Linked DNA regions of Kluyveromyces lactis. The protein of the gene in region 2 interacts with the protein of the main gene of each other region in a pairwise test. Links are inferred from orthologs where the notes say so. Each region holds a gene or a part of one and is shown on either strand. Other genes may lie near its edges. The genes, in order: MAK11, RRP15 and MAK21.

Region 1 (6,145 bases), on a different chromosome or scaffold from region 2:
CCTGAAAGTTCCCTGCTCATTTCAGACTCCAAAAGCTGGCATTAGCACTGGAATTCAATGAAATTCCTTTGGAATACAGGCATTTAAGTGAGAAACTGATGGGAGATTTATCAGAGTATTGAAACAATTGATGAAGAGCGCATGAGATGACTTATATGAGTCAAAAAATTGATTGTATCGAACTTATATAAAGACAACAGGAATAAATCTCGAGTTCACTTTTCATTTACCCTTGTTAATCTTTGCATGATCTTGAACAGTGTAACTATATAAATCAAGAAAAACGGAAACAATACTGCTTGACTTCATCTCATCGATATTTTACTTTGATATAGTACTGAGAACATCCGAGAAACAAAGAGACAATTACAATTTTAACAATGAGTGTTACACTACATTTAAGAGCAGAAACTAAGCCCTTAGAGGCTCGTACAGCCTTGACACCAACTACTACCAAGAAGTTGTTGGATAAAGGGTTCAAGATTTTCGTTGAAGAGAGTTCCCAATCTGCCTTTGATATCGAAGAATATAAGAAGGTCGGTGCCACTATTGTTCCAGAAGGATCTTGGAAGACCGCTCCACGCGATCGTATTATCATTGGCTTGAAAGAAATGCCAGAGACTGATACTTTCCCGTTAGTTCACGAACACATCCAGTTTGCTCATTGTTACAAGAACCAAGCTGGTTGGGAAGATGTTTTGAGCCGTTTCAAGAGAGGTAATGGTGTTTTGTACGACCTTGAATTCTTGGAAAATGACCAAGGTAGAAGAGTAGCTGCATTTGGGTTCTATGCTGGTTTTGCCGGCGCAGCAGTCGGTATCAGAGACTGGGCTTTCAAGCAAACCCACTCAGATTCTGAGAATTTGGGAGCTATTGAACCATACGAAAACGAAGAAGCTATGATCAAGGATGTTCGCAGAGACTACCAATTAGCTTTGAAGAGAGGTGCCAGAAAGCCTAAGGTTTTGATTATTGGTGCCTTGGGTAGATGTGGTTCTGGTGCTGCTGATTTACTACGTAAGTGTGGATTGCCAGAAGAAAATATCATCAAATGGGATATGAAGGAGACTGCTCGTGGTGGTCCCTTCCAAGAAATCGCCGATGCCGATGTTTTCATCAACTGTATATACTTATCAAAGCCTATTCCTCCTTTCATCAACAATGAACTATTGAATAAGCCAACCAGAAGATTGAGAACTGTTGTTGACGTTTCTGCTGATACCACTAATCCTCATAACCCTGTTCCAATTTACACCATCAACACTACGTTTGATGCACCAACAGTACAAGTTCCAACCACTGTTGGTCCAAAATTGTCCGTGTGTTCTATTGATCATTTGCCTTCATTGTTACCAAAGGAAGCCTCAGAATCTTTCTCTCGTGATCTATTACCATCCTTGGAGCAGTTACCTCAAAGAGCTACTGCTTCTGTGTGGGTCAAGGCTAGAAACCTATATGAAAAGTTCGCTGCTAAGGTTGGTAGAACATCTAAGCTATAGAAGCTGAACCTTTTTTTTTCTATTTCGTATCCTCATCTTCTGGGAAGGTGGTTGTTAGTAATCCTAAAGGGTCCTTTTATGATGTAGACCGCGATTGAGACTTTGTATATTATTCGCCTTAGTTATATATATATATATATATATATATATACAAAACAATACTGAAGCATTCTATTCTAATTGAACTTCGACCTTCCTTTTCTTGTTTCCGCCCTTCTTTTTACTCTTCTTGGCCTTTTTCCCAAGCATGATCTTTTTGAGTTCCTCAGGATCAGCTTCTACGTCACTTGGTTCTCCCACCTCAACTTCTTCTGGTGCTCTCTTCTTAACGGTATCATATTTTTCAATACTTTCATCGCATACAGCTACACAATTTAATCTTTCACCACAATCGTATACCGCAACTTGATCCCTAGTCTTCATGTCCCAAACGACAATTCTTCCATCAGATCCGATTGTAACTAAATAATGACCAAACTTGTTATGGTAAAATTGAAAGTCCTTTACACGGTTACTGTGACCCAATAGTGAAAATTCAGCTTCCAACTTAGGTGATTCTTCCTCTTCATCTGGCACTTCTTCGTAAAGTTTTGATGCTTTCCAGAATTGAACGGCACCACTGTTCAATCCAACAACAATATACTCTTCGCCATCAATGATTTCACGCTCTAGATGCATCAATGTATTCCTGCTAAAATCGATTTCTCTATGCACCTTTGCTGTTTCGGTCTTGAAAATTAGCAATTTGTTCAACAAACCAACAGCAATATACGACCCATTCTCCCCGCACCATCTAACGAACTGTCCGTTTTGATTATATTTCCTTAGTTTCAATACACCTGCCTTCTTAACAGTCATGAGGTTCCATAATCTGATCGAATGATCTTCACTTACACTGACTGCAACTCTGTTCGAAGGATGAATATCGAAATCGTTGATCCTGGCAGTATGGCCCTTCAAGGTTCCGAAATTTTCCCAGTCTTTCACTCTCCATACTATTATTTTATGATCCTCAGATGCAGATAGTAGCCATTTATTGAGTTGGATATCCTGGCCATCGGCATCTTTACCTCTTGAGAATCTCAAATTCGTAATGGAACCTTGATGTCCTAACAACGTCCCCAATTCTTTACGTTTTTGTAAATCGTAGATTCTTATATTTTCATCGTTCGATCCTGATACTAGGTATCTCTTTGATATGTCTAGACATTTCACACTCAATGAGTGCGCTTGAAAATGAAATATTGGCGTGAATAGCGGTTGGGTTAACGATAAGTTCAAAGATAAACATAATAGATTGTGTTCGTAAGAACCCACAATGATTCTAAACTGATTATCCGGCATTTGAATAGAAGACCTTTTCAACCTCTCTTTCTACAGTGAAAACAAAAGGAGCACTTATCGGTGTTGAAGAAATTATATATGTGAAAGCTCATTGAACTCATCTCATCTCATCTCATCTCATCTCATCTCATCGCTTCTTTGACTATGTTCAATCTTAAATTTTCCAACTTTCCAGATCCAGATGGGAAGAAAAAAGAAACTGTTCAATTTCCGGGTAAACTTTTTAAAAGGTTTTCTTTCCTTCAAATGTGCTGGGTTCAATCTATTAAAAATTCCCAATGTTCAAAGGGTTTGTTTGTATTTTTTTTCGACAACCAGCATTTTTTGTTAAGCTTAGTTTCTTTAGCATGAGATTTCGGACAGAAAGTGCGGAAAATAAAGTGACGCAGCATTTTTTAAGTGGTGTAGGCTCTCAATGTTCGAGTTGTTTGCTTAAACGGTCCGGAAACAATGTTGTGTGTATTGATGGATAATCCGTTTTTATTTCCTAGGATGAATGTTCAAGCATTGTGCTAATTATTTTTGGTGACAAACTTGATCTGATCTTTAAAGACTTTGAATCGGGAAAATACATGTTCCTCCATTAATCAATAAGAGATCTAGATACGGATTTGAAATCTTTAATTAGAACTTAGAACTCTACTATTCCATATTTAGACGTTTCATTAGCCATTTCCGAGAGTGGCCATTTAGAGCATAGCACTTTCTGATTCTCATCAGTCCTAATCCAAAGAAATATTCTCTATTCACAACTTGAAAAGGGGAAGTTACTTGAGCCTGTTTCAAGAAAGGAATAAGAGCTGAATTTTCAAGCCATGTCAAGTTACTCTAGTGAAAATAATGATACTCGGCGTGTTATCGATTTGAGTTCTAATAACATCGGGAGTCGATTACATGAGTCTCTTGTCGATTCAAACAGAGCTATATATACAAGTGGGATGCAAGAACGTTCTTTGAATGAACAAAATATTCACTTGGTCAATACGTTGGAAGAAAGAAGTCCCAATGATAAATTACTGCTGAGTCCATACGAAGAAGAACTTTACAGACGTAGTCTTAGACTGAGTCCCGTTACTTCAATCGCAGCACCCATACCCACAGTTACATTGCTTGGGGAGGATGCACCACCAGAAGCCGGAAAGACTGCTTTACCGTATATGACCGATTTTGACAAGTTCCAGGTGGAACAGGAAAAGAACAATAAGAATAGGCGACAAGGTTTGGAACAAAATAACGACTCGCTGTTGAGTTTATTCACCAAATGGCCTATCTACTCTTCTAAGAAAATAAAACAAAAAATGAATAGGCACAATTCGCTTAAAAGAACGCATTCTTCAGTTAGGCGCAAGGATTTCTCTGTTCAGTCTGAGTATGCGAAATATAACAAAGATAAGAAGTTCATATTCCATAAGGGCTTTTCTCAAAGACACAATTCTGTTAATTCACTGCGAAGAAATTACACCAAAAAGACTCACTTCAGAAAAAGGTCTAGGTTTCAAAATGAACAGGAATTGATGTCGTACATGAGATACATCAACGCCTCTCAAATGGATATAACTGAGGTGATAACAGCCGATAACATTAGAATGTATCTTTATTCCAAAAATTCATTGAGAAGCCTATTACGAGTTAATCCAACACTCCATCCAATTAAGGTTCCTTTAATGCAGTTTAATGAATTGTTGAATAAAAAGAAAAACTCTCCGCAAGGGTCAAATGTTGTGAAAAGGCCATCTATCTCTAGAAACCTTTCAAGAAAAGCCAAACATGTTCGCAGGTCAAACACGTTACCAGCTAATAAAACATCATTTGCAGAGAGATTAAATCCTGAGTTATACCGTACATGGAATTCTTACCTCAAAGCTATCATAGCTAAAAGAGTCGAGCTTAGAATCTCTTGTCTATTGGGTGAAGATATGTCGTCATTTGCCTCGTCGGTGAGAAATTCTGCGATCGTGTACAGAGAGTCAATTACACCGCCGTTGGAACTTGGGTCTCCTGGCAACCCAATTGTAATTTCTGATAATGAGGATGCTCCGCCCGTCAGAGGATCGCAAGACAATAGCAGTAATACTGATGGCTATGGAACAATTGAGAAATTATATCATGAAAATGATACCGATGATTTGTCGACCAGACCGAGCACTAGCATTTTTTCCGTGCGACAATCACTGACAAGCGCAGACCAAAACAGAAGATCATTTTTCTTCCCTCCTGACAATCCAGGAATGCATAAAATCGATGAAGAGCGTTCTATACGCAGTGTAACGTCAAGAAACACTTTGTCATAACGAAATTAATTAATCGGGAGCATTTACGGATTACAGATGAAACATTTATGTTTCTGGAATTCATGCTGTTCTGAGAGAATTGCATTACAAATACATTCATATGTATACACTACTTATGATCTGGATATTAGAAGCCTAAAATACCTTTATAGATATTCATTTTGGAGCTTTCACTCGCTTTAACAGCGGTCCAGATTTGAGCTGTACCAAGCGTTTGACCATACGTAGCGTTTTTCTTTGTCACAAACTCATCGACCTTTTCGGGGTTATCCATCCACATTTGGAAGATCACATAACTGATGTGCACCAGGGTCTTTTTCATTCTTTCAGAGGATTCCGCGCCCTCTCTCAGAGACTTACGACCCCATAGGTCATAATTTAACTCGAACCACTCCCAGCATACATCACGGACTAATTTATTCTTCTTGCCATCCAATGGCTCGCGGAAGTTATAGTTCAATCCGAATAATGCATTTTCAACACTGGTTGAAGTGATATTAGTTAAAATAAAGTTCAAAGTCTTTTTGATGAGCTCCTCATTAGTGTTGAATGCAAGATTCTCAAGAGCCATATTTTGAATGTCAATAGAAGATCCACCGTCAACATGAGATTCAACACCCTTTGCAGACTTAACTAGCTCATATAATTTTTTCCACTGTTTGACATTCTTTTGATGACAGGAGACAGTGGCGAACACACTTCCGCACAATTCCAAAGGAATGGACTTATTTGGACCAGACAAGATCTTTTTCATTAATTGATTGGCCACAGTCAAGGTTGAGTCCAAATGTTTGATACCAAACATCACCTTTGACATAACTTTTAGCTGATATGAGGAAACGTGAAAGTCATTCCAAGAAAATTTATCCCATAGAGGGACATAAATATCAGTAATGAAAGCTTTCTCAGATTTACCGGTGTATGTTCTTAAAGCATTTTCTATGGTTTGCAAGATATCTAAACCGATAGATAATCCACGGTATAGTTCTTCCGTTAAATCAACATGTGATG
Region 2 (5,607 bases):
TTCGTTGTAAATTTCGATAAATTGAGCCTCAAATGAATAATCCCATCCTCTTTCCTTCAAGAGGTGCGTCCAGTCAAAGATATGATCTAATGTCATTGGTATTACACCATCAGGATCGTTCATCATAGTATAAGTTTTTCCAGAACCAGTTTGACCATAAGCGAATATGCAAACATTATAGCCATCCAGTGAACTCTGAATCAACTGGCCAACTTCTTCGAAAACGTCTCGATTTGATGCATTAGAGCTGAATACTTTGTCAAATAAGAATCTGCTGTTCCTATCTTCATTGCTTATCTCTATTGCTTGCGATCCATTTCTATTATCAAAGTTAGATACATGAATGTGCGATATATCCTGCACTTCGTTTTCTAAAGGCGGTCTTATTCTACAGTATACTCTGATATTTCCTCGCAGCTCCTGTAGTTCATTATGAAGCTTACGACGCATTGTCTCCTCTTTTATCAGTATTTCATTGATTTGTAAAAGTTCGTTTTTGGAATTAGTGATATACTCATTGAGTTCTTTCCGTTGACTGATAGTTTGCTCTATTTCTTCTTCGACAGTGTCTATTTGCACAGTAATAGATTCCTTGAATACATTCTTCTCATTAAGCTTCTCTTCCAATTTTGCTAGCTCCTTTTCTAAAATGTTACGTTTGTCTTTAGATTGATCCAATTCATTAGTCATGTCATTTTCTATATCTTGACTTAACTTGTTGATATCCTTAATCATGGACTGATTAGCTTCTGTGATATTCTTCCATTCCGTCTGAAACTCTACCATCCACTTCTCTTTAAGATTTGAGTATTTCTTATCAAGTTCTTCCTTTAATTGGTTAATGACATTGTCATTATTATTTACCTCATCGTTTAAGTTATGTATGTCCTTCAATAAATGTTCCTTTTCTTGTTTAAACTTTTGAATCTTTTCAAATTCAATCTGCTGCACTTCAAATTTGAATTTCGACTCTGTTTCATTCATTTCACAGTGGTATTTTCCCTCTATCTTCTTTATTTCTAGATCAAATCCGTTTCTCATAAACTCTAACTTCAATTCATGATCTTGATCCATGCTATTCAATTCATTCTGCTTTAACCCGATTTGTCGTACTTTCACTTGTTTCTCCTCTTTCAAATTGTTCATTTTGAACTCTACAGTTTCCACTTTGCTTTTCAACGAGTTCATCTCATCCTGTGCGGTATTCAACTTGATCTTTTTTCTGGACAACTCTTCTTGCAATCTATTCAGTTCTTTCAGGTTTTCTTTGTAAAAGAATGTCATATGAGTTGAGCTTCTATTTTCAGTACTGGGCGTGAGAGACCTTCTTCTGTTTATACTCTGTACATCTTCTGGATTCAATCTTATCGACTGCCTTGGTTTGTATTTTGGTGAACTTGAACCCTGCTGGGTTGGAGAAGGTATATTAGAACCGTCCTTCGATGAACATCTTTCTGGCGTTGACGGCGGTCCATTCATATTCCGTTTGATTATCAGCCAACCAGTTTAATTTAGTCAAACCCACTACCTTATTACACGTCTTTTCCAAAGCGGTACTGGTTTATATACGTTCTTCAATTGCTATGTCTCCTTTGGTGTTTCAAGATTGTTTTGTTTTCGGTTGATCTTATTATTTGTTTACATCTTTACTAGTATATGTGACATATTTCGAAACTGAACCGGCTTCAGTACACAACAAACCTTCTTTGGGTAGCTTGAACAAGTAGAGGAACCATTACAGATACACCACACTCCAATAAACCCAACAGTCGGGGAACCACAGGCTAGTAAGAGAGTTCAGCTTCAAGTTTCTTATGACGGCGGCTCCACCAACGTCAAATTTGCAGTGGTGTATGGGTGTGTTGATAGAATGTATTTCTTTTTGTTAGTGAACATGCCAAAAAAAATTTCAGTGAAGCACAACTCATCTCATCGCTTTCAAGACTGTATCTGGGCCTTTAGGATCCATCATTGAATTCACACTATCTCAATAGAAGGTTAACTTGCCGGTAGATTGTGCAGTGGACAGCTTTGTATTGTATAGCCGCCTGAAAATACTATGAGTAGCAAGGGTAAAGTGACAATACCTGTCACCAAAAAGAGCAAGTTGAATGACAAGTCTGCAAAGATCAGGGCTCAAACGAAAGTCAAAGAGAATGAAGTATCACAATTGGCTGATGAAGTAGATTCTGATGTGGATTCTGAAGGCAGTACAGGTTCCGAAATAGATAACGATGAAATGGATCTAAATGAAGTGTCGAGTGATGACGCCAGTGATGAAGACAGTGACGATGAAGATGTGGTGAACCAACCAGATGACGATGACTTCCCAAGAAAGAAGAAGTCTTCCAAATCCAAACACGATGATGGATCATCCACATTTTCCAGCGCGTTAACCAATATTTTATCATCGCATTTGAAAGCATACGACCGTAAAGATCCCATTATGGCTAGGAATAAGAAAGTTTTAAAGCAAAATGAAGCAGATAAGTTAGAGCAAAAGGCTAAGAGAGCTATACTCACAGAGAAGAAACAACTACTCAATAAGACTAGAAAGAAAGATATTATACCTGTTGTGGCTGCAGACGCAAACTCGGATGAAATTAGAGAAATTCTTGAGAAGGAACGTAAACTAAGAAAGATTGCCCAGAAAGGTGTTGTGAAGTTATTCAATGCAATTCTCTCTACTCAGGTTAAGACTGAAAAGGAAATCAATGACTCATTGGGTGGTGTGAAGAACCGTTCAGAGAGAAAAGAGTTGATAACGGAGGTTTCCAAGGAGAAGTTCTTTGATTTGGTGAAAACTGCTGGTGACAGTTGAAAAGAGGAAGTTCTATATGATAGAGGGAATCATCTGCATTTATTAAAGCGCAAAACTATGTACATATATAGGTAATCCCAAAGACTGTATAATAGACTAATAATATTATTAATTACAACTTTATCGAAAAAAGATCAGATCAGGTCAGATGAGGGATCAAAATCCTAACCCTCCATTTGAATATGCCATTGGTTTAATATCTGGATGTGGTGAAGCAGAGAAAGTTTCTATTACCAAGTCGCTGTCGATAGATGATTTCTTTTCAGATTTTGTGTTTGGAACAACATGAATGATTGCACCGAGGTTGCCACCGGCGTCACAGTAGTTAGGAGCACTGAAAACAGTGACCAATTGATTCTCATGCTCAAATTCGTAACCGCCTTGTCTAACTTCATGAGACCTGAAGATTCGCTTTAAATTATTCTGTTTCAAGAACTTTCTAGTAATGTCAGGCCCAAACGCATTACTTAAGCCACGAGGAGATGGTCCAAATCCATCCGGAGCCTGTGGATCCGCCCATAATAACTCCATAAATGTTCCCTCTCTTGGTGGTTGGTGGAATCTATCAATTTTCTTCATATCTTCTACAGTGGCAGAAGTATCACTTGGCAAACCACCATGCACGACCAGGTATGAACTATTGATGACAGTGGCTAATGGTAGAGATTCGAAGCTTTGTGAGAAAAGATCGAAAATGCGCTGGGAGTACTTGTATTTGCATTCGTCTTCAAACCCGTACACTTTATTCATGCTGTTGGTTTCATGATTACCTCTGTTCAAGTAAATGTTCTGTGGATACACGATTTTCAAAGAATAGAATAAAATGGCCACTTCACAAGACCATGATCCACGGTCTACGAAATCACCATTGAATAAATATACATTGGAGCCGCCTACTTTCCCATAACTTTTGAAGATGTTCAGAACATCATAAAATTGACCATGCGTGTCACCACATACAGAAATTCTTGTATCCGGCTTTTCTCTGTTATCAAGTTCAACAACACTGTTTTCTTGCTTGAACAAATAGTCTGCATGAGAAATGATCGCTGCAACGTAAGCCTTTGGAAGCTTTTTACCTTCTAGGAAAATCTCATTAATCATATAAGAAATGAATTCCTGGTTCATATTGTTAACTCTGACACCAGCATTGGCCCCAGAATCTGACTTCACTTGTTCGAATTCCAAGGTTTTACCATCATATTTGAGGAGATCGGCATTTGCATCGAATGAGCTGATATTTAAAGTTTGACATAAATCAACTTTAGAAGAGTCTCCACCGCTAATAGCTTTTTCAAAATTCTCCTTCTGTATGACTTTATCACAGATTGCTAATGCATTTTTTGCAGTGAGCTCGTTAGGCTTGAATTTCAACACAATGATCAAGTCCTTCCTTGCCTTTCTAAACTCTAGTAGCCCAATGTAAGACATAGCTCTGCGGTGATAGGCTTTCAAATTGTTATTATCCAATTCAATTGCACGTTTAGCATCGTCTAAAGAACTTTGGAAGTTATCCAACTTTAGGTTGGTGAACGCACGGTTTGAATATAGGATCGTATTCTCGGGATCATGCTCGATGGCTTTTGTATAATACTCAGCTGCCTTTGCGTACAGTTTCTCCTTCACGAACTTGTTACCTTCATTCTTCAGCTCTAAGGCTTTCTCTGGATTACAGGCTTTCACTTCCTCAGTCATTTATTCAATAGTAGTGGTAAAAAAGCAGCCAACTGGTATGGTATGTGCCTTTAAGTCCTCAAGACCGATAAACGGAGCCCATTTTAAAGTTTTTTCTGATGTGAGTCTTTCTCTTCTTGATGTTGACTTGTTGATTTTTTTCATCTCGATGTTTCAATATTACGGCGATGTGATGAGATGTAATGTGAAGAGATTTGCGAAAGTGAAAGAAAGTACTCAATTTGGAATTGAACTACTTAAGTTTTCTACTTGAAATTATGTATTTACCATTTTATGAAGGGTAGGAATGCTGAATCAGAACCTGATTCGAAAATTGTTTCAAACCTTTCGAATTCAAGAGCAGGTTGGATCTTCAGCTTTCTATTGGTTTCTGCTTGCAAAAGTGAATCGTAAGACCAATCTAAGAAATCTTCGATGTTGTAGCTTAACTTTTGGAAAGGTTGTTGGAAAATCTTCGCTAAAGTGGCTACGTTTGGATGGTAGTGATTCATTAGCGTTTCTAGCTCCCATACTGAGGAGGAAAGAGCATTTGTAAGTTCTGGATTGGTTTCTTCATTGTTGAATGGATCTAGATATTCTTGCCTTTTCTTTGAATCGCAGTCGATGTATTCTGGATCGTGTAATAGAATCATACATGTAGGATGCTTTCTGATTAGATTGTACACGAATGGTATTATAGAAACAATAGCACCTGGTGGTGCCGATACGGATAAACGTGCCAAACGTTTGATGAATGACGCTACCAGTTGTGCGGATAAATGTGTAGAAGATAGAAAGGTGTCCACTAATCTGAAAAATCTTGATCTGTACTTAACGTGCATTACTTCTGGAGTTAGAAGCTGATATAGTTTTGAGTAGAAATTTGGATATTCTAGGTTGTATTTTTTCATAAGTTCAAACAAACCATTTAATGAAAGGATTGAAACGATACCACCTTGGTTGTAAGAGTCGGTAAGGAAATCCATAAGCTTTGTTGGTTGATGGAACCATACTATAATTCTCTTGTGTAGCACTAAAAGCACAGTTTTATATTGGCTACTGGATAAGTTGGCTAAATTTAGACAGTGCAACCAATTTGTTTCGAGGTTGGA
Region 3 (7,416 bases), on a different chromosome or scaffold from region 2:
GAATGGCTGACAAGTTTATGGTATTGTTTCCGTCACCTATCCAGAATTAAACCTCGAGGTAGGTGAAAATATAAGTTGCTTTTATATTCTGTTACTCCTGTCCCCACCTTGTTCCTGAGTTATCTTTAGATTATACCGGTCCAATGCGACACAATAGATCGAAGGGAAACGGTTATGCCGAGTAATAAATGCACACTTTGCAGGCAATACGGATAATATTAACGATGGCAAGCAAACAAACAAACAAACAATACAATATAATACAATGTAGTTGCACGGTAACGCTGACGTATTATGTACCTTCCCTCAGATCTTGCGGCAAGCAATATCAATAAATAGTGAAAGAATGAAAAAAAAAATCTAGCAGCTGGCAAGAATGACAAGCACGAAAAGAGGACGAAACGAGAGTATGTTGTTCTGGACCTAACTTTGCTGTATCTCTCTAGCGTAGTTTCAATTCGTTTTTACTTTCTTTTCTTTCCCTCACGAAATGCTTATAGGATATTTGGTAATCACCTTAGCTTATCCTTTGCCTCTCCGTTTTCGAACGAAAAGCAGCAGCAGATAGAACCAGAAACGGAGGGGTCGAGACGAGGATGTGGGTGTGACGAGCAAAGATCAAAAGGATCTGAAACTAGCTCTCTGCCTTAAAAATACTCGCGGGAAGACCGTTTTCGAGACTTGATGTGTCTGGAATTTTTCACCGAAATTTGCCATAAAATATGAAACACATGCAACAAAAGCGCACAAGAATCCAGAGTTATGTGAATGAATTTATACGTCACAGATTCCGGAACGACGCTCGATGAGAGGGGTCGAATCTGTCTATGTACGTATTATTGCAGCGTGTGTATGTGTGGATAGCCCAGGAAGAATGGGAGTATAACAATAGTACTACTCTTTCAATGCACAAGCGATAAAAAGATTAGTTAATCAAAGCTCCCCATCCAAACCTTTCGCGCACCTTCTCAGACACCTTTAAGATAAGAAAGTGAAAGTATTGCAGCGGAAGACTTCGACGAATTCAAACTTAGTGACCATGTAGATATTGCTAATTACTATAATTATTTTCTTACTGGCAACCGTCATGTAAATTTCCGGAGAGAATGTAGCGGATCCAGAAAAAATCTCTTTGGATGTCAACAAAAGGCTGGGATGGATAGCAACCGACCATTTGTCATTTGTCATAATCCTTCGGATCTGAAGAGCTCTCGAACGACAGATGGGTGAAAAGAAGCGGAAGCCGCAACGTTGCTTAGACGGAAAACGAGGCACGTGAGATTATGTAAGAGTTGCTGCAAAGACCTAGACTCATCCTTTTTCATCCGCTATGTTTTCTGTTCTCTTATCAAGACAGAGTAATGAATGTCCACACGCGTTACATTTGCGCCGGTGAATGCGCTGTGTGCGGCATACTAGCATCTTGCCCATTCATAGAGAATGTGAGCTGAAGTGTTGCATGCTAGAACAACTTTCACTTCTGGGAATTACGATTACATACATTAACACTTTTTTTTTTCTCATTCACTTCCGTCATCCGCTGAATGATGATTATAATAATCTGCTTTCGACACACCCTTCATAAACACACCAAGAGTGTTGAACTGGTGCGGACTTCCCGTTTGGAACTATTATTAGATATTCGTTCCGTCTATTGCCTAAAAGGGAATTACAAAAACAAACGGCGTCCGTCCACAAAAAAGCGGCTTCTCATTCGAGACACAGGAAAAACGGGCTAGATTATTTCCGGTTTAGGAAACGGATTTTTTTGATGCGTTTTTTGACATAGGGCAGGCTAGAGTGGACGAGATCTTGGTTTGATCGGGTTTAATGTACAAAAGCTGTGGTGTTGTATGGGCTATGGAATTATTTAATTCAACTGGTCTTGGTTTTTACATGCAATGCAACAGTACTTCTTCACTCTTTATTCTTCATCTGAGTTCAAGTATTGGGCGTAGTCTTCTGCCGACGCAAAAGTTGGTAGTTCGCGTAGTTTTTGTTTCTTTGATTTCTTTCTTGGAGGTTGTTGCTCTGTGTCTTCCACATCAGATTCTTGCGAGGAGTCGTCTGCAGCACTGTAGAATACATCTTCATCAGATTTTACTTCGTCTTCGAGGTTATCTTCAAACAATTTGGCCTCTTCTGGATCGAAGTCACTGATGTCTTCTGGTTCACCTTCTTCAGCTTCAAGATCAGCTTCTGATGCCTCATCTTCGTCTCCCGAAGATGCAAGGTCTTTGAGATCAATATCGACATCTTCGGATGACGATCCGAAATCATCCTGTGAGAAATCGTCCTCACTGAACTCAACATCGCTGTCCTCTTCGTCACCTTCGACGTCAGGTCTTGACTTCACTAAAGCATCCCAAATTTCATCTTCGTCCAAATCGCTTTCCTCGTCGAATTCAGCTGTACCGTTTTCATCCTCTGCACCTGACTTGGTAGATTTGATGGCATTAGTCTTTGTAGAGAAATATTGATAGAAGAACTTTTCATCTGGCTTGATATCTTGCACCTTCTTACTTAACCAGTTCTCCGTGTTAGCAGGTACTTCGTGCAATGTGGTATCGCTGGCCTTCACTAATAACGAACCAGTGTGTACACCTCCCAAAGGTTGCATGATAGATGAACCTCTAGTGGTTGGCTTTTGCTTGGCGTTACGGTACACGAATCTATCCAAGAAATGGGCTAACGTGAATAGGCCAAGATCGGGTTTGACTAACTCTCTTGTTTCTTGAGTGTCACCGTCGAAGAACCCTTGTGCGTACGACTGCACAGTAGGATGGAAATGGGACAAGAATTGATTTATCTCCCAAAGCGATGAATTTTCAGCGTTGGCATATTTTGGATCACGTTTACGGCTATCGTAACCAGGTTTTTCCTTAGTTTTATCCCTGGAATCTTCGTCATCAGATTCGTAAACAGAGTCTAGTGGTGAGTTGATTAGAACATTTCTGATCTGCGGTAAACTCTTTGAAAGTTGTATCAACAAAAAGAACATACCACTAATGGCACCGATGTTCAACCAATGGGCACAGACTTGCAATATACGTTTTACGAAAGCATCCACTCTTCCAATGTCTTTATCATCTTTCAAAGATTTGTAAAGCAAGTTTAAGTAAATACCTTGCTTCGATGACGACACCAATCTTGGGTCGAGTAGGGATTCGTATAATGTCTTGTAATATCTATCACTTGTGATGTTTGTCTTCACGACAACCTGGTGAATCAATACTAATGCTTGAATTGAAGTGTTGAAATTAGACGCATGTGTTATCTTGAACAATGTATCAAGATGTATCTCGTACACGGATCCCGGCATATCAGAGAATGGGAAAGCACGATTCAAACCAGTTAGAATAGCACCGAATAATTTGGTATTTTTTTCCTCGATAACTTCTTGAGCACTTTTTTCTTCAATGACAGACTTACCACCCTTTTTACCCTTCTTGAAGTTCTTCTTTCTCTTCTTTTCATATGACTTATCGGATTCCTTGATTTCACTCTTTGATTCCTCGTTATCAGCATCAGTTTGGATTAAGAATTTCTCGAATAAAGTGAAATAGGTCTTGATTAGCTGATTTGCTAGATTCTTCTCGGAGCGTTTCAAAATTGTTTGATTAAGTGTCAATGCGGAATAGTATGTAGTATGATAGTCAGCTTGAGGCCTTATGGCAATATCGACAACAGCGTCTACCACAATTGATTTCATATTTGGATGTTGAGTTTCAAGTTTCAAAAGTTTGAAGGAAGCCTTTGACGCTACTTTGTTATCAATGTCACCTAATTTGTTAACACCAAGTTTCAACAAGTTGAATTCCTGTTCTGGTTTGGCTGTTAGCAGGTCAAAGATATGTGTTAGCACTTGCATTCTGACATAGATGATAGGATCATGGGATAATTTCTCAAAGATTTCCAAAATCTTGAAATATAGACCCTTCAAGTAATCCTCAAAATATAAAATAGCTAAAGTTCTCTTATTCAGTAGCATGGAAAGGTTTTGGTTCTTGAAGTATTTTAACTTGCGGTCAGGTAACAGACCATTTAAGAACAAATCCTTCAGAGCATTCAAAGCTTGTAATGCGGAATTTCTTGACTTCTTCCCGCAAAAGGATATCAAAGAATCAAGAGATTTGATATTATGCAATGGAGATTCCTGTAGCAATAAAGTCAAAGCACTAATTTTATCGTTCAACGTACCATCGCTTAAGATCTGGGACATAAACTTACGTTGAGATGAGTTCTTGGTAAATTCTTCGTAGTAATTAGTGTTATCTAATTCTAAGGCCTCTTTACCACGCTGGTATAACTTATCTATCTGTTCTTTCGTTAGCGGATCCTGTTCTCTTGTTAATTCAGGGTCCAAAGGAACTTCGTACCACAACAAATCTGATGGAACAAGTAATTTATCACTTTGAACAATATGAGTTTGAGTGATCATGTCGGATTGATCTTCCTTTTTTTTTTCTGCTGGTTTAGGACTAAGTGGTTCCTCCTCTTTCTCTACCGTCTCTTCTTCTTCTTCTTCTTCAACTTCTACCTCCTCCTCTTCAATATCTTTCTCTTCTTTGCCTGCATCCTCAGTAACTGTTGGTTCTTCTACAACTTCAGGTTCAGGTAGTTTATCGAATCCCATATTCTTCAATAAAGCACTGAAATCGCTCTTAAACTCGTCATCAACTTCTTCATCGGCTTCATTGAATTCAATCTCACTGGCATCGTCGTCAACACCATCAACAAGCTGGACATCTTTTTCAGAGGCTCCAAGAGACAGAGCTTCACGGATCAATTCTTCATTGGTGACAGCAGTTTCCTCTTTAGCTGGAGTAACGTCTGTCTCTTTTTCGCCCTGCTTCTTACTCTTCTTAGGCTTAGTGTCTTTGGCCTTTGAAGCTCCCAATTTGGAGGACACTTTCTCCTTCAATTTGGATAAATCAAGACTCATTCCAGATTTGCACTTGTTATCGAGTGTTGCTTCTTTCCAAGCAATAGATCAATCAAACGACAAACAGAGAAGTGGCCTCTGTGTATATCAACAAACACAGTCTGAGCGCATAATAAGAGTTGAGATGAGATGAGATGAGATGAGATGAGATGAGCTTGATTTTGGTGTAAAGGTAGAAAATTTTTGTCGTTTCTTTTCATCACGTGATTAACGATTATCCGGGTAATGAGTTTGTCTCTCTCGTTTAGTATTTACAAAAGCATTCTATGTAGTAGTGAGACCAAGAAGCGGGGAATCTGCTTGTCACATGGTTTGCCGAGAGCGTTACGAGCCAATGGACATGCTCAGGAGTAGGTAAAGCGTGAAAGTAAGTTGAATCAAAAGTTGCACAATGTATGTACTTCCCTCAAGTATCCGCCTCTCTGCATTGGAATTTCTTTACTGGAATCAATCCCAATTAAAGAATGTTTTTTGGGACCTCGCCATTACCCGCACAAACGACGTGCATGGTGGAAGCCAATGGTGCCATTAGTTGCCAATGGTGCATGCATCAATAAGCATTGACACACATACATATACATTCTTGGGGCAGAAATAGACGTGCATTTGCATGAATTGATTGGAAACTCATGGTTTCAGATGCACCAGCTCGAGGTGAACAAGGTAAGTTACGTATTGAGAACAACTCTTGGTAAAGGAATACTTCTACTATACTTCTTCTTCTTTTCATTGTGCATACAAGAGAAGAGGTTCAAGTCGAGTTGATTACCTCGAAATACAAGGTGTAGTTTTAGAGGGACATTAGGGTCATAGATACGAACCCATTGACCTGCCTAAAAATAACTCAAACTTGTACATTTCAAAAGTTGAATAAGACAAACGAGATTTTCTTTCTAAGTAGCGATAGCGAAGAATATCTATATATTCGTAAGACAATGACAATTGGTATCCTAATGAATGGACAAAGGAAACGTATAAAAAAATAACTGCAATGGCATTTGTCTTTGTGTTTTTTCTGATTTTCATCATCATTTCACTGAAATGAAAATAAAAATAGAGTGCTAATGGTAATAATGGCGTGATAAAAGTAATAAGATGATAAAGCTGATCCTTATGATATGGGAACAATGATGGCAATTGACGGGGAAGATAAAGCTTCTTAAGCTGTCCGTTCAAGCTAATTCTGGATTTTCCATCGAATGCTGTAGCGATGCTATGATGTTTTGTGACGTTTCTTTGCCTTTTTCTATTACAGAGTCATAAATCCAATATAGGTAGATGACGACAAACACACACCGGGGAAAGGAGTGAAAGGATGGATGGTGTGTGAACGAGAGACCGAGCATACGATGCCATGAAAAATTGAAGAGTTACTTCGAATCTCATGCTGCTTTTTTCTATCATTAGAACAAAAAAAAATTAGTAGTAAAAATTATAACAATAATAGTACTATTAATCCCATTCAACATTATTATCAATTAGTGGTGGATAATAGTAGTATAAGCTTCAGGTTGGGACCATTAACGAACAATAAAAAAAAAGTTTACGTTCCGATAGATAAACTTAAGATTTTATTCATCCAGGTTTTGGTGGGGTGGTTGTTGATAGTAACTTTGATATTTCATGAATTGATAATTCTGTTGTGAAGGATGGTTATGCATTGGTGCGGGAGGAATTGCGTACATTGAATGCTGTTGAGATGGACCTTGCCCATGACTCTGAATTAATCCCTGGCCTTGTGATGGGTGTGCTCCTTGAACCTGCCCCGGTTGGCGGTAGAAAGGACCCGACGAAATTGAAGGCTTAGTGGATGAAGGAGGAGTCACCGAATGACTTTGTGAGCCTTGTAAATTCCCCTGGTACTGGGGTTGGATATTACTTTGTTGTGGTTGCTGCTGCTGTTGCTGCCGTTGCTGTTGCTGCCGTTGCTGTTGCTGTTTCTGTTGCGACTGTTGTTGCGGCTGCTGATGCTGTTTAGGGACCATTATGGAATTGTGGTTCATGTTTGGAGATCCAGGACTGTTGTGATGGCCCGGCATGAACTGAGCCAACTGCATCCGCAACTGTTCATTTTCCTGTTGCAGCAGACTGTTCTTGCGTTCCAAATGTTTGATGTACTCATGAGATTTTGACAAAATTTGAACCTTGTTGACTTTCGAAGGTGGAGCCAACCCTTCTAGCGATTCCACAGGAATAGAGTTATCGTCACACCATCGAAGTGTCGGTACCGAGTTTCTCAAAAACTGGAAATGAGTGTTAATGTTGTTCCGATACTTTTTCTCACTATCGTTATGACCCGAGGAGGTGTTCCCCGAATGGTTCACAGCAGCACCACCACCACCAGAAACCGTGGGAGCCAATGGAGTCATTAACGCACCGTGGTTCGTAAATCCTGGGATCGCAGGGAGCACGGGAAGCCCAGTCACTGCAGCGTTAAACACAGCGTTCGGGTTGTTTCCAACGCCAGTATT

The links.
Region 1: the proteins of RRP15 (region 2) and MAK11 interact in binary tests that used the Saccharomyces cerevisiae proteins (3 or more experiments, as listed by UniProt). The link is inferred for Kluyveromyces lactis from reciprocal best matches to the Saccharomyces cerevisiae genes RRP15 and MAK11.
Region 3: the proteins of RRP15 (region 2) and MAK21 interact in binary tests that used the Saccharomyces cerevisiae proteins (3 or more experiments, as listed by UniProt). The link is inferred for Kluyveromyces lactis from reciprocal best matches to the Saccharomyces cerevisiae genes RRP15 and MAK21.

What each region holds. Positions count from the first base shown.
Region 1 is NC_006041.1:714,174-720,318, reverse strand, and holds MAK11 (Mak11p), read right to left. Parts: upstream 2,844-6,145; coding exon 1,671-2,843; downstream 1-1,670. Other genes in the region: LYS1 (saccharopine dehydrogenase (NAD+, L-lysine-forming)), read left to right, coding at 381-1,499; NIS1 (Nis1p), read left to right, coding at 3,659-5,134; TMA108 (Tma108p), read right to left, coding at 5,262-6,145.
Region 2 is NC_006038.1:954,857-960,463, reverse strand, and holds RRP15 (rRNA-processing protein RRP15), read left to right. Parts: upstream 1-2,059; coding exon 2,060-2,821; downstream 2,822-5,607. Other genes in the region: KAR3 (Kar3p), read right to left, coding at 1-1,479; PPT1 (protein serine/threonine phosphatase), read right to left, coding at 2,978-4,516; ribosome biosynthesis protein NOC4, read right to left, coding at 4,780-5,607. UniProt on the Saccharomyces cerevisiae protein: Constituent of pre-60S ribosomal particles. Required for large subunit rRNA maturation, in particular processing of the 27S pre-rRNA at the A3 and B1 sites to yield 5.8S and 25S rRNA.
Region 3 is NC_006041.1:1,105,924-1,113,339, forward strand, and holds MAK21 (RNA-binding ribosome biosynthesis protein MAK21), read right to left. Parts: upstream 4,946-7,416; coding exon 1,925-4,945; downstream 1-1,924. Other genes in the region: KLLA0_E12541g (uncharacterized protein), read right to left, coding at 6,517-7,416.